2 linked regions of the Alligator mississippiensis genome follow. The protein of the gene in region 2 purifies or fractionates together with the protein of the main gene of each other region. This does not show direct contact. Links are inferred from orthologs where the notes say so. Each region holds a gene or a part of one and is shown on either strand. Other genes may lie near its edges.

What was found. Proteins that work in one complex are often made in the same cells at the same time.
Region 1: the proteins of CUEDC1 (region 2) and SMURF2 purify together in Homo sapiens (co-immunoprecipitation; 3 studies listed by BioGRID and IntAct, with this or other methods). This does not show direct contact. The link is inferred for Alligator mississippiensis from reciprocal best matches to the Homo sapiens genes CUEDC1 and SMURF2.

What each region holds. Positions count from the first base shown.
Region 1 is NC_081831.1:6,313,839-6,322,140, reverse strand, and holds the start of SMURF2 (E3 ubiquitin-protein ligase SMURF2), read right to left. Parts: upstream 3,177-8,302; 5' UTR 3,035-3,176; coding exon 2,983-3,034; intron 1-2,982. UniProt on the Homo sapiens protein: E3 ubiquitin-protein ligase which accepts ubiquitin from an E2 ubiquitin-conjugating enzyme in the form of a thioester and then directly transfers the ubiquitin to targeted substrates.
Region 2 is NC_081837.1:6,110,348-6,117,729, reverse strand, and holds the start of CUEDC1 (CUE domain-containing protein 1), read right to left. Parts: upstream 3,055-7,382; 5' UTR 2,826-3,054; intron 2,584-2,825; exon of another isoform or gene 2,491-2,583; intron 1-2,490.

The DNA.
Region 1 (8,302 bases), on a different chromosome or scaffold from region 2:
ACAGACTCAACAGAAGACACAGTAAAACAAAAGATGAGACACTGGCAGTTTTATAGAAAAGAGATCTAATTTCTCCATGTTTTTGTCAAGGCTCCACAAGTGTACAGTAAAAGGGGAAGGCAGGCCCTCTACTGACCTCCCCAGACTGTCCAGTGTGAATTGTTTCTCATTCCTAACCCACAAGGGACTGTTATTCTACTTCTAGTTTTCTCTCTGGAAAAGTTTACCAATTATGCTATGCCACAAATACCACACAAGTTGGCAAGTAACCACAAGGGACTATGCAAAGGTGATCAATCCAGTCTGTCCGTCACCTTTCCCCAATATGTATGAGGTTATACCACAATAATTAACAGATTTCACTTACATTTTTGTGATTTTTTCTAGGTTTCAAAAATTACTGGTGTCATTTTGATTGATATTCTCCTCGCAAGTACAAAAAGATTTTTTTTGGCGATTTCTTAGTTGGGCTAATAAAAGATATCATCTCTGAACCAAGAGTTCTAGAGAGTTTTGCATTTCTTTTTGTCTCAGACCAACATAGCTACCAAATATATCCCTAAGTAAAGGCACTTAAAGTCACTGCATTTACTATTTTAAAAGGTAAATCATAAATTACAGCCCAAATGTACTTACTGGACACTACTGGAAAACCAACTTTTCAGCTGTATGCAATATGCTTGTCTAGTCCTCAAAGAATAAAAGATTCTCCCTACCCACACTGCACTGTATTAATACTGTATTCCAAGCAAACATTGTGATATTCCTACTGTAATAGTATATTCCAACCGAAAACTCAAAGTTTCAGCTTGAGCCAGTTTTCAAGTAGTTTAGATTCACTTCCACATTCAAGAAATCATGGAAGTTCTGACTAGTTACAAAAATAAAAAATAAATCACATCAGAAAACTGAAGTGGGGGGAAAGCTGGAGTCTTTAAATCAGTGCAGCATAATGTGTTCTAAGGACTAGATAAAACTGGCAAAAAACATCCATGGCTGCAGAAGCCCAGTCTACTCTACTGGTCCAAGGGACAGAACTGAGGAAGTGGTAGCAAGACTGGAAAGCTTTGGGAAACACAGTTACATACACAACCTATGACCAACTTCTGAGCTGACACTAGCTTGAATTATACTGGTTACGTTCTTAATGAAATCCAGCATTTATTATTCTCATGAGAAATCTTCACCAGGCTACTTTTGCAGATTTTTGTAACTGTCTACTATCCAGCAACTTTCTGGCTCAGGGCTGTGCCTGAGACTCCGATGTGTGTCATTAAGGGATTAGGGGATACTTATGACATACAAATAAAGCTAAAAGCAACAGAAGAAACAGCCGGGATGCACTGTAAGCTAAATACAAACTTACTAGAAGTATGCCACCACAGTGGTTTTTCCTCTATTCTGGAACCCAGACCTAAATAAACCGTTAAACACTTAGTGTAAAGGTATGCCAAACATTTCTCAGAACTCACTTAAGGTCCCAACAAAGAATCAACCTTTTCTGCAAAACGAGGCCTAGGTTAAATATTTTATTTGGCTCCTCGAGATGGACCAAGAGGTTGGGCATTAGCTCCAGATCAGTTCTTGGACTCGCATCAAACACTACCCTGCCATTTATCCAGTCAGTCAAAACTATGTTTTCTATCTAAACCTTTAATGTTTATGTCCTGAAAAAAAAAAAATGCTAATTGAATCCAGTTCTTGAAATCCATTTTTTTTCATTTATACCATCTCATTTAGAGATAACAAACAGAAAATAAGTCAGTATTACACATTGATTATCGAATGAATCCTTGAAGCGTTCAAGCCAAAACAGAAGACTGCTAGTTTCATAAAGACAAAGAAAATTAGGATTATACACCATGGGGCAGATCTGAAGAGTAAACTACTTTAAAAAAAACCATATGCATTTTAACTCCAGTCAGTGCGAGCACTCAAGGGTCCTTGCGCTGCTTTTCCCAGTCGAAAAGGACCATCAAAACCACACCGAGTACTTGCCTGGGAAGAGACGCGAGACCTGACAACACGTCCATTCAATTCAGTGCTTCTAACAACTTTCCCAAAGCGCGTACAACTTCCTTATAACAAGCGACGCGACGTTTCAACCAGGTTACAGCAGACCCGGTCCAAAATACCTCCATCCCCTCCAATGGTCCTTCCCGAGACAAGCCGACGTTTCCCAAAACATCTCCGGTCGCTCCCCGGACAGCTGCTAACGCTGGAAGATGCTCGTTCGAGACCCTATCTCCTGCCCTCGTCTTTCTGGGCTCGTTAAAAAGCGAACGCAAAGACAACACAACGAAAAACGCACACTCCTTTTGCGGACTGCCCGCCCGCCCGCCCGGCTTCCTTACGCGGCGCCCCGCGGCTTATTTTTTTTGCCCAGACTCATAATCCTCTGCGGCGTCTTTACGCAGGAGAGGAGGACGCCCCGGCTCCTTCGTGAGATCCACGGATTGTTTTAAATAAATGGCTCAATAAAACACACGGGTTCCCCCGCACCCTGCAAACTTTTCCAGGTTATTTTTTTTTAAAAAGACTCGCTCTTCCTCCTCAGGGGGGGAAAAAAACCCCCTCGCTCGCAAAATCCTTGCCCCAGTCGGGTTCAGAGGAGTTTGGCTGCCGCGGCGCGACACGAGCTGGCCGCGAGCGGGGCTGCTCTGACTGCACGAAACGGGCCGACAAAATAAAACCGGGGTTTGTTTTTGGGTTTTTTTTTCCTCAGATTCAACAATTTTTTTTTAAATTATTATTATTATTTTTTTTTTTTAAATAATTTTTCCGGGACTCGCAGAAGTGACAGGGCTGGGGGTGGGGGGCAGGCGGCGGGAGCCCGGACAAAAGAGGCCGCCGCACTCGGGGCGAGTTCCGCCGGGCCGGGCCCTCGGCTCGGCTCGGCTCGGCTCGCCTCACGCGGCGGGTCCCCCCCCGCCCCGCTCCGCCCACAGGCCCGGCCCGGCCCGGCCCGGCCCGGCGCCTCACCTGTCAGCCGCAGCTTGACGGGCCCGTTCCTCCGCGCGCCCGGGTTGGACATGTCGCCGCCGCGCCCCGCGCCGGGCCCGGCCTAATGGAGTCGCGCGGGGCGCTCAGGGCAGCGGCGGCGGCCGGAGGAGGAGGAGGAGAGGCCCGGATGTGCCCAGCGGCGCCATGAGCGGGGCCGGCGCCGGGGAGGAGGAGGAGGAGGAGGAGGAGGAGGCACCTCCCCCTCCCCCGTCCCGCCCCCTCCCATGCTGGGGGGCGGGGTCAACCGCCGCTTGCCCCTCGCCCTGCCCGGGGTGGGGGAGGGGAGGGGAGGGGGTGCAGCCGTGTGGCCCCCAGCCCCGCACCCCGCTGTTCTCCTGACAAATAATCCTGAAGAGACAATAACCCCGAAGAGACAAACGGAGGACATCAAGGCGTCGGGCTCGGCATCGAGACAGGACGACCGGGCTGGCCTCGATGACAGAGACTCAACCTCCGTCCTCTGTCGGTGCCAAACCCCGCGCCTCCGTGTCCTCCGTTTTTCTCTTCGAGATTGGTTTTGGAAAACCGGGCGTCTGCCCGTGACCTTTCCGTACTGACCGTCGTATCCGCGCTTGACCTCTGTCCTCCGTCGATACCGAAACCGGATGCCTTGATGTCCTCCGTTTTTCTCTGGAAGATTATGTTCTCTTCCAGATGATTTTTCAAGAGAGAAAGAGAGGACGTCGAGGCGTCCGGCTTGGTATTGATAGGGGATGGAGGACAACCGGGCTGTCCTTGATGACAGCCGCCTGTGACCTTTCTGTACCAAACGTCGCATCCAAACTTCAACCTCGTTCCTTGAGGCTGGAAAGGGAAGGAACGGGCGAATCTCACGTGGCTCTTCAAGAGGAAAATCGAGGGCATAAAGGCGTCCGGTTTTGTATCAAGAGAGGGCGAGCGGGCTGTCCTCGATGACGGCCGCCCTACGACAGACACTTGACCTCCGTCCTCTGTTGATACGAAACCGGACACCCTTATGTCCTCTATTTTTCTCTTGAAAAATAACCTCAAAGAGAAAAATAGAGGACATAAAGGCGCCGGGTTTCGTATCAATAGAGGACAACCAGACTGTCCTCGATGACGGCCACCCTAGCTGGAAGGGAGGGGAGGTCTGGCTATAAAGCACTTCCCCGGGACATAGAAATGGGAGGAAGATGTTTGCAATCAACAGGGAGATGGGGAGGCACGGGTTTCTATCTCAAAAAAGGAAAGATGCAAAATTAAAAGGGTTTTACAGGCCCCGATATAAAGGCAAGTGCCCCTATGGAGACTGAGGGGTCCCTGGCTCCTTCAGTAGGTCCACAGGTCAGCGGGACTGTTGGAGGAGCTGGGAAATCGCGGGAAGGAAGGGCTGTGTATGGTCATTGGGCCGTTCGGGCTTAGACTGTTTATCTGCGATGTAGATGCATTTTCAGCCAAGATAGTTCCCATATGCCATCACCGTTCTCCAAAAAGATAAGAATCGGCTTGCATCCCAAGTCTATATTCGAATTTAACTTCTTGTTTCCGTCTTCCAGATGCTGCGGGAACTACTCCAGAAATGTCCAGGCTTTGTAGCGCACCAGGGGGCACTACAATAGCAGCAGGGCACAGACAGGCAAGTTAACAAGAAGAAATAAATCTCAGCTTTTTGTAAAAGGTCCATTTCGGGATGATCGTAAAAGGTCCATTTCAAGACGATCACCAAATCATAGAGCAGGAGGGCTGGAAGGGACCTCCAGAGGTCCCTCGTCCAACTAGGTCCCTAGTCATCTAGTCCAGCAGTTCTCAGCCTTTTGCACCTTATGCCCCACCAACCATTTGGTCAAAAAACCCTGGTCCTACCACGATAAAAACAAAACCCCACAAAATTGCACTGTTGGAGACATCTGTTGATTCACCTATTTGACGTGCAAACAACTGATTTTTTTCAATCGGGCAATGAGTTGAAGTCCCATCTACATGACCTTCAAGTCCCACTGGTTGGGAAACACTGATCTAGTCCAACCCCCTGCCTGAGGCAGGATCATCCTTATCCAAACTACCCTGTGCAATCAATCATCTGAACCCTACCGCAAACCCTGACACAGTGCAGACCTAGCACCCTAACCTGCCACAGGCCGAGCAGAGGAACCACAGCAGCCAACATCCTTCTTCTATGAAGCGTTGTCAATGCATGCTCAAGTGATCCTGGGTAGAGGGCCATGCCCCCCGCTACAGAGGAAAGCAAAAGCCCCCACAGTCTATGTCAATCTGAACACAAGATAAAATTCCTTCCTGACCCCAAATATAGTGATCGGTCTGACCCTGAGCGAAGGAGCAAGACCCGCTAGCCAGGAACCTCCAGCTTTTGTCCCAGCAGGAACGTTGGCACAGCCCAGTCAAAGTCGCCAGCCTTGAGTGCAGCCAACACCCAATGCCTCTGCTGCCAAGTAGGAGATCGCTGCCTATGTTTGACACGTCTTCCAAGACAGCTAGTTTAATAGGGCTTTGTGACATAGGTCCCATTCTGCTGAGGCACTCCACAGTATCACTTGTATTATCACAGCACTTAGGAGCACTAGTCACAGCACAGGACCCTTGTAGTAGGTGCTCTACAAACACAAAACAAAAAGACAGTCTGTTCCTTATATGTCTAGAGAGCGCCTAGCATATCATGCCACAACGGAATTAATAATATATCTATTTAAACCCACGCAGTCTGTTAGGTTTGAGGATCGAGTGATCATTAAAAATAAGAAACAAACACCAAAAAGTTGCTGGCTAGTACATATGCCCTACACAACAATGATTTCTGCCAAAAACTGCAAAATGCTTCTGGGGAATATGTTCCTTGAAGCAACTCTTCCTCATCGAATTCAGCCTACAACTTGCATAGTAAATTGATCCTGAACATGCCTTTTTGATGTGTCTGGGAACTACACGAGAACTTTAAGAAGAGGTTTTTACACTCGGGGTGCTCCTCGCGTGCTATCTGTGGAATAATTATAAGTTCTACATTGTACGAGATGCTGCTATTGATGTAATTCCATTGGGTCACGCTGACCTCAGTAAAAATGCTGCAGCTCTTCCATTTGCAGGGTTTCAGATGTCTGGTTCTTTGCATCATTAAAAAGGTTATGAAACTTGCATGCATAATAGCTCTTTTCAAACAGTACAAAATTGGATTGATTAATTGCTTGAGAAATTCTAGTTTCTAAGAAGTATAAAAGTAACATTTTTTTTCCATGTCTGACTTGGCCAAAGTACTTGAAAGTGCCAAAAACATTTAAAAACTGTCTGTTCAGATAACTCATGGCCTGACATTTAGAGGTGCTCAGCATCTCTGGAAAAGCTTGATTCAGAGCCCATTTAAGTAAATAGGATTCCTTTAATTGGCTTCCATAGGCTTTGGATCAGACCCGATGTCAGGCCAACAGTTACTAGCTGCCAACCATACTGAAGTTCTCTGGAATTTAACGGGGCTCGGCACAGGCTTGGGGGTCTGCACTAACAGATCTCAATGTAGGATTGGCATCGTACAATAGATTTAAAACATTACAGAATGGAATATTAGGATAAATTTAACACTAACTTAAAAAAAAAAAAAGACAGAGCCTGGAAAAAAAACCCTTCTTTCACCTAACTGGCGGTGATTAAATGCCACAGTGCCTTATAGTGTCAGAGTGCCCACGCAATTAGAGCTTGCACTTCTGCTCATTCCCAGAACTGTCCCAGGCTTGAGAGGGTAGAAGGGCCTAGTGCTTAGCTCATACCTACCCCTGAGCTAGGTGGGTAGGTATTTTCAGCATCCTCACGTACACTGGCAGAAACCACCACTTTCTTTTAGAGCATTGCTGCTGCCCTCTTATTAGAGCCTTGCGGTTAAAACACTTGTCCAGGAAGTGGAAGATTCATTCAGTTCTCTTTGCTGCCAAAGGATATTTAAACCACATCCCTGACTGCCTGTCCATGCAGTTCTGGGTGGGGCCCTCTCTATCCTGAAGAAGCTATTAACTTCTGAAAAGTATACAAGATGAACTGGGTCAGAGAAAAAGAAGCATAACCACTTACCTGGGAAGGGAGGGTCCTCAGTTACAGCCTCTGCTTCCAAGACTACCTCTATCCAATGACCATATAATGCAAAAATCATTGTCAGCTGATACAGGCTAAAGATGCATCTTTCTTCCTTCCTAGTGACACGTTAAGCAATGCACTGTGCTGTAAACAAGAAGCAGCTCATTGAAAAATGGAGTTAGAACAGAGGAGAAGAGATTCGGGAAAACTGGATTCGATTCTGCACCCCCCCTTGACTTCAAACCTTGTATCAAATAAGTCCCAATAGGTCTGCTAATTTTGCAGCTAATGTACAATATTACTAGAAACCATTCAATGGAGCTATAGTACCACAAAGGCATTTGGGGGGGGGGGGGGGGGGTTTAAACAGCAGACATTCAGTCTAGATAATTGAAGGTCAGACTAAAGTCAATCTGTTGCAAATTGAAATGGCCAAGTCATTATACTTTCTAAAAGTGGCTATATAAAGCAAACAGGAGTCAGTTTGCTAATATAGCAACATTACCTGACCACTGCAAAACTGAAAAAAAAAAAAGACAAAATGTAAAACCACTACTTGTGGTGTATCCAGTTTGTTTAACCTATTTTAATTTTAGAACTGAATTTTAGCTTTGCTATGAATTTTCTAACCTTTAGCTAGCGTTCGTTATAATATCTTGCTGTACCTGGATGCCACCTCGGTGTTTTACAGACAAGGAAGGGCTGAGGAAAACAGTCATTTTATCTCCTCCTGTATTTGCTAGCTCTGCAGGAGATCATTGGTATTATAATACAGTTGGGGTGGTATTGTAGATGTGATGGTCCAAGATATGTATGAAAGGCAAGGTTTTAGTGATACTTTTTATTAGACCAATATAGGTGGGAGAGAGAATAGATAAATTTAACCTCTGAAAGATGGGCCTGGAAACAAAAATCCATAAGCTTACTGAACACTAAAAATTATTGACTAAGCAGAGATAATGGCTTTATAACTCATTACAGTCTACCTGTTATCTCAGCTAACCTCTCTTCACTCTAAGGGTAATAATGACCCTTTTCCCTGTTGAATTATCTTGTTCCTCTACATGAGTAAACTGTCTAATCAATTAGATCCCCCTAATTTTGAAGCTACTTTGGATCATCTTTCTTTGCTACTACTTCACAACCTTCCTCCAATCCTTTAAATTACTGTTTTAATGTATACTGGAGTTAAACATAAGCCATTTTTCCCTGTTACTTAGCTTAGCCTGTGTCTCCTGCTCTTAGACATGAGGGGCACTTTGTG
Region 2 (7,382 bases):
CCAGTTCTGATGCCAGGCGGCACCATCCTGGGGGACGCTGCACTCGCTCCTGAAGCAGGGCATAGCTGTGTTAGCATGCCAGCAAGCTGCGCTGAGAGACAGGGCCTCTGAACAAACAGGCCAGGCAGCATGTAGGCGGGCAGGCTTCTTCCAGGTCAGGAGGTAACACACACAAAGTGAGCCCGACATCTCAGCAGGGTGTCTCCCGGCACTGTAGCAGAGCAGCAGAGACACAGCCAAAGCAGCCAACCTGGAGCCAACAAAAAGATAACCCCACAATGTCCCAGACCCCAGACTTGTCCTGCACACATGTTGCTTGCAAGCACATGGGAAGAGAAAGGTGCCAGCTGCAGCAGGTCACAAGGAATAGCTGTCTTGGCATTTATCCTGGGCTTCAGCACTGTGGTATCTGAGTAGCTGATGCCCGAATCCCCTTCTGTGCGTGTGTATGCATCAGTGGTGGCTGTCAGTGGAGCTGGCCCAAGAAGAGCAGACAAGTAGCACCAAGAATATGGCTACTCCCCCCGCAACCCGTGCAGTACTTCCATCAGAGAGAAGAGGTGCATGGAAGGAAGCCGAGTTAAAGGTGGCGCCTGCTTTCCAAAGGCACGTATTAGAGGAAGCAGCAAAGCAACAGATAAATCAAGTTATTATTTACTTTGGAGTGCTCGGGGACAGGGCGCCACTGTGTCAGGCCCCGTCCAAACAAGAGGAGGGTGCAAACCCTGCCCCTTTTACTTACAGTCACTGGAGCAGTACATTTCCACCACTGCTAGAGAGGGCTTATTTTTCCTTTGGTTTTAGATCATGCAAAAATAAATTAAAGGCAAGTGCATGGGGGGTAGGGAACTAACGACATCAAATAAAACAAACAGCGAGTGCCAAGAATTATTAGTGCGGCAGACCCAATCACTACAGCTTAGTGTAGACCAATTGGATATAGACATCCTACCCCTTCCTAAGCCCTCCTGAGTTTCTCAGTTTAGCCAATCGATTCCCTCCCTCTTGTTTAAACGGTTAGCTCTACAGGTGCAGACTGTCCATATAGCATCTTAAATTGCAGTCAGTGCATGATTATTATAAATTAAGATCATTACAATTTACCTTTCTTTATAGAAAATAGATCCCTATGGCAGAGCCTGTCAAAAACAGGACCCCTCTCACCAGTAAATATTAGAAATGACAGCCACAGCAGAACTCACCAGAGACCTGGGAATCTACCCAGCTAGCCCTAGTAATGGGAATAGTCCCATGGACTCAGTATAAGTACTGCGCATTCGGAGGCTGAAAACAAATGTGGGAAAGGTACTGAGATAAATCGGCGCAATAGTTTGTTTCCTTCTCTACCTTCTATCAGACTCAAACAGTTCCAAGGCAACGTGCGGATCCAGTTGGAGTGAGCGACAAATGAAAAGCAAAGTCGTTTTCCAAAAACAGCCATCTTCGCTAGACAAAGAGTTCTGCTGAATTTTTTTTCCCTTGCATTTGACTTCTGCACTGGAATTCTGGCTTTGAATCTAGATATCTAGGTCAACCCTCTGGTAATCTGATTGGATGAGAAAGATTTCATTAAGATAGGTCAATGGAATAAAATGTTGTCACAGGATAACGGTCTTGTAACACGTGAGAAACACCACGGCGAAGACAAAGTAATTCATCAAAAGCGCTGGAGGGAGGTTCCAGCATCTATTTACAAAGCGGCATGCATTTTTCCAGCGACAATTCTTTTAATTTCTGTTCTGCCTAACATACGGTTAATGGGGGGGGGGTGTCATTGTATCTGACAGGGGAAACGTGCAACAGTGCCAGGGCTCTGTGACCAAAATGCAAGCTGCCGATTGGCTTGCAGCGATTCGGACCATTAAGAAACAATTTTAGGCACGGAAAGACAACTCCAAATCCAAACGCAAAACAAGGACAACAAGGCAGTTTGCTATTGGGCGCAATCCTGAACTTTCACACCGCATAAAGGGCAGCCCTCCAGTATCTCACTGGCAAAGGATCGCTCCTGGGTGGCATCAAACGGGCATGGTGGATTTGAAGGAGCCAGGAAACAGAAAACCAACAACAACTTCCCTTCCCTGAAACACTGAGGGCATCCAACAGCTGAGGTCTCAAACTAAGCAGCATGGGCAGCCAGACACCCAAAGAGCTGGAGAAGGATTTGGACTCAGTTTCTTGGCATGCAACTTTCCAAGGGCCTGGAAAAATAAAGAGCATGAAACAACTGCAAAGCAGGCGGGTGGGGAGTGGGGAAACAAGGCTCTGGGGAGAGCTGGGGAAGGGGGGATGCCAGAGGTTCTTGGGGTGCTCTTACCCACCCCAGGGCTGCTGCCGCCCCTCCTCTATCACACATCTCAGCCGGGTAATAGGAGCAAAGGCGGTGGGGAGGGATGAAGCTAAAGCCCCCGATCTGCGGGAGGGGAAAGATGCCTCAGCCCCTCGCAGACGGCAGCTCCCAACCGTGCCCCTTTCCTCCCTTCAACTCACCCGGCGCCCCGTGCCCAGCGCTGCCGGGATCCCCGCCCTGCCAAGCCGGGGATCGCTTGGATTAAAAAAAAAAAAAAAAACTAAAACCCAAAAAAACCGCCTCCTTCCTCCCCCGCCTCCGACAAAACAAATCCCCGCGCAGCGCTCGCACGCCGGAGAGGGCCTCTCCGCCCGGCTCCGGGGGACCGGACCGGACCGGATCGGATCGCTGCCCGGCCGCACAAAGGGAGCCAAGTGGCTACAGTGCGATCCCCAGCGTTCCACGCCGGGATCCCAGCGTTCCACCGCCGCTCCCAACATTCCATCGCGGTCCCCAACGTTCCACCCTCCCTTACCGGGCGGCGGCGACTCCCAGGCCGGCGGGGCTCGGCTCGGCTCGGCTCGGCTCCGGCAGCGGCTGGAGGGGCGGGAGCGGGGCGTGCAGACCCCTCTGCCTCTCGTCCCCGCCCCGCCCGAGCTTCCCCCGGAGCCGCGATTCAGGCTCTGCCCCCGCACGCCGGGGCTGGGGCTGGTTGCCGGAGGCGGGGGTGAGGGGGGTGGGGAGGGGATCCTCGGAAATGGCAGGGGCTGCGCTCAGCTCCGGCACGGCGGGAGGAGGCAGCGGCTTCCTAGCGGCCGCCGGCCTGAAATGCAGCTCCCCGCGCAGGGAAGCCGCGGGTGGGGCGGGTGAGGGGGCAGCGGCACCCCCGGCACGTGCAGCTGGGGTCCCCGCTGATCTCCGGGCTCCTAACAGCGCATCTCCCAGGGATCCGAGAGAGCTTGGGGGGGGAGGGTGTCATTAACACCTCTTCACTGAGTGCCAGGGGGGAGAAGCCCAGAGAAGGGAAGGAAAGTAATCAGTGATCCCTGTGGTCAAGAGTATCCTGAGCACACCACCTTCCCCCATTGCTGGCTAGAAGGGAGGGCCAGCATGGAAAACTAATGGTGTCCAAGAAGGAGACCACTTCCAGCCTGGGTCTCCTTTCTGGGTAGTGCCACGCAACAGTAGCTTTTAGGCACCCTTTAAAGGTGAGGTGTGAGACTCTGCAGTGAATTTGTTTCAGCAGGTTTCGAGGGCTCATCTAGCACTTCTAGTCCTGAAGGCTCCCAAAGCACCTGCCAGAGCCCGCTTTACTGAGCCCCAGCAGCAGGGCCGGATGAACGCGTAGGCAAAGTAAGCACAAGCCGTAAGTAAAGAAGGGGCCCAGTTGTGCTTATTTTACATGTTATAATTACTGAGCGAGAAAAATTAGGAGCCCATGAGTTTGTCTAGAGCCTGCTGAAGGGTTAATCGGGTCCTGCCCAGCAGTGTATTGGCAGCAGATTACAGAGGACCGGCACCCTCCTTCAGGGCCTAAAAAGGCCCACTGATGTTAAGACCAATGGTTCACAACCTTTGGGACACGAGGCCCCGTCCATAACTTTTGTGAACTAAGTGGCACCGTTCCAAAAATGAGTTGCTGGATTATAGCGCTTACCTCCTTGCAGAGAGGCCCGACAGCTGGGGTAGGAGATGGTCCAGGCAGGGACAAGCCTAAGTCCGAATTTATCTGCTTTGCTCTTCACACCTCAGGATGCCCAAAGGACCTGGCGGTACCCTGGCTGCGCATCACTGCTTTCGACTAATGCACCCAATGCTCCTCGTGACCTGGATGACAGCAGCAGCTCGGTGCGGCCTATCGTTACCCTGGCGCAAAGCAGTAGCAGCCCCGAGATCCATATTCTCACGTCTAAATTGTCTGGTGGTTCCTGGGTATGTAACACAGCACCATGCGCTTTGTCCTCTGCTTGCAACCAGCTGCAGACAGATGTTTCTTTCCAAGGGCCAAGCAAGTCCCATTGCAATGCGTTGGCCGGTTACCAGGGTAAAAAGTGAGGTGCGAGAATCTGAAGGGAATTTGTTTCAACGGTTTTCGAGGGCTGGTCCAGCACCTCTTCCTGACAGCTCCCAAAGTGCCTTCCAAAAGGAGCCAGCTAGACTGAGCCCCAGCAGCGTGTTGCTGATGCGTTAGAGGAGAGGACAGTCACCCTGGCTGAGTGCTTCCTGTGAGAGATGCTACCATGAAGTATCTCTTCAGCCAGTGTATCTGGAGAGGTTTAACAGCTCACAGCCACACCTCTTCACAGTATGGGGCAGGAAGCAGTCTTTTCTGAGGCTTGAGGACAGGGGTAGTTTAGGTACAATGCAACAGCCAAGCAGACGAGGACATCAGGGCAGTGCTCCCTGTGGAGGGGCCATCTGGGAACTTGACTCAAGTCTGGGCAGTAGGGAGAGGTGGACTGGCTGAATTTTTTTTTTTTTTTTGAACGGGTCAAAAATGGTTTTTCCATAAAATCAGCTATTTTTTTCTTTTTAAATTAAAACCACGCCAGGGCTATATGACTCTGGCTTGAATCTATACGACTGAATCTTGAATTCAGTAGCCACGTGGAGGTACGTGGGCATCCGGTGCGGAGGCTTCTCAGTGATCTCTAACATCACATCTGAGATTGGCTCAGCCTCAGAGCAGATGGCCAAGGACCCTGTTAACAATAACAGTAATTTAGGGGTGAACCTCAAATGTTTTATTCTATCAAAATCAAGATATTTAGATTTGTTTTTCTGGATTATTTAAACTCCCCCCTCTCCTTTTTTTTTTTAATTTGGTGATTTTTTTTTTTTTTGTAGTTTTGACAGAAAACTGTTTTTTAAAATGAGCATTACAACATTTTTATGTAGAAAAGAAAATAATAAATGTTTTTAATTTTTTTTTCTGGATTATTTCACCTTTTATTTTTGTAGTTTTTTAGTGGAAAGTGTCTTTTAAATTGAACACTGAAATGTATTTAGAAAAGACCAAAAAAACCCATGTTTTGACTTTTCTCAAATGACCTGCTCTTTCTAAACATTTCAAAATGTTAATTTTTACCCTGGCAATGTTTTCCACTTTTCTATCCCTCCCCTAGCCCCATTTTTTGTGGCTGAAACTGTGCGTCACATTGAACCCCAAATTGCAAATAATGTTGGTCTTCCCCAAACATCCTTTATTCATTTACTTTTTCTCCAAAAAATGCTATGAATTCCCAGTAAGAGCATTGATGCATTATAGATGCAGAGAGAATAAGAGCGAGATACCGGGGACATCTATTTATGCATAATGGCAAACTCCTATTGTTATGGATGGAGGCAGGATCTGGCCCTGAATAATTCAGCTGTGTCCATTAGCACAGCATCTGGCACTGAACCAAGCACTGATGCATCCAAGTGTTTACCTACCAGGGTTGCTATATGGCTCCCGTCACTAATGTGTGAGAGCAACTGTTCACAACTGCTAGTGAAAACAGCTCTCAACCCCATGTGGAGATGCACTGGAGGGAATCATGGAGGCTCCTGCTGTTACAGTTCCACCATCAAGCCTGGTACAACTTCTCTGCATTAATCCTCCTCCTGGAGGCAGGAGAGATAAGGATTTAAGCAGTGCCTCAGACATGGCAGATTAAAGTCACCCTACGCAGAGGGCCCAGCACAAGGTTTATACACCCCGTTTAAACCCTATCTTGGGCATGTATGTAGGATTTAGACAACACAAAGCACTTGGGCGCAGAGGTGGAATTCATTCTGGCGGGCTCTCCCACCCTGACTGAACGGGAAACTGCAGCCCGGGATAAAAATACATAAGACATTGAAAGCTCAGGGCTAGGCATTCACTAGGAACATCAGTACCAAGGCTCCCTTTGACTTTTAAAAATTACAAATGCACATTGCCATAAATATTTAACTTTGCAAAGTTAAATGCCAACCAACCTGGGCAATGCCTTCCAGATGCTAATACACTCGCGGTAAGCTGCAGCCTGACCTCTTGTTTTCTGCTCCAGGTTTGTTTCCGAGGGAACTTTCTGCTGGTAATAGAATATTATCACTGTGTGCGTCAGCATCCCTGTTGCAGTGGGATTAGGGTCACAGTTGCTAACAACACTGAGCAGCCACAGCATATGGGAGTAGAAGTGTAAAACTCAGAGGAATTCAGTGAGTGGATTTTAATTCAGACAGATCCAGCTAATTAAATCATCACTTGAAAAGAAAGATTGCATGTGAAACACAGAATGTGTGTTTTTTATACACAGTTGCCAATGCCTCTAAATTAAGCTAGCAGTCCTGCCTTCGCTCTGAACCACGGCATTCTCATAAAACATGCTCTGAAGATTATAGCCATTTTTCTCCTCTAATTAAACAAACTAGATAAACTTATTTTAAGTTTACCAGTTAAATGTGGGGCCTACACTGGCAAGATTAATTACTCATTTCAGGAGCCCACATTGAAATATCTTACAGGCATCTGATTTTCAGAGTGCTGTCACTTCAGATGCCCAAAAAACTGAAGGATCTCAAATCACTGGTAAGATTAAAAAAAAAAAAAAACTTTAGGCAAAAGATTGGCCTTAACCCTAAATTGATTTGGAGTCGACACATCAAGACAGCTTGGTGCTGTTGCTTAAATGCTTATTTTGTATTTAGTGTTAAGGGTCTTTTTTCTTTTTAATAGGGTGTATGGAATATCCAGAAGGAGCTATAATTTTTCAGCATCATTCTAGCTCCTTGGATAAAAGATACATTTACACTTAACAATTCCCAGACTCGACACGGCCCTACAACTGCTTTGTGCTATACCACCACTGCAAAGTGTTCCCGAACCTGACCCAGATTCATCCCAGAGCAGGGGATGCTTTGGTGGCAGAGGTCAGTGAACCAGTTCATATGCCATGCCTCTTTTTTTTTTTTGTTTTTTTCTTTCCTGCTGCTCATCATCTGCTGCTGTATTTGGCCCTTAAAGCAAATGGCACAAGCTAGAGTAGTTTTCAGGATGCTCTATCTCCTTGTTCCCTACTAAAAGGTTTTAAAAGCATTTCCCTTATTTGCGTTCTTCTTAGTTCCT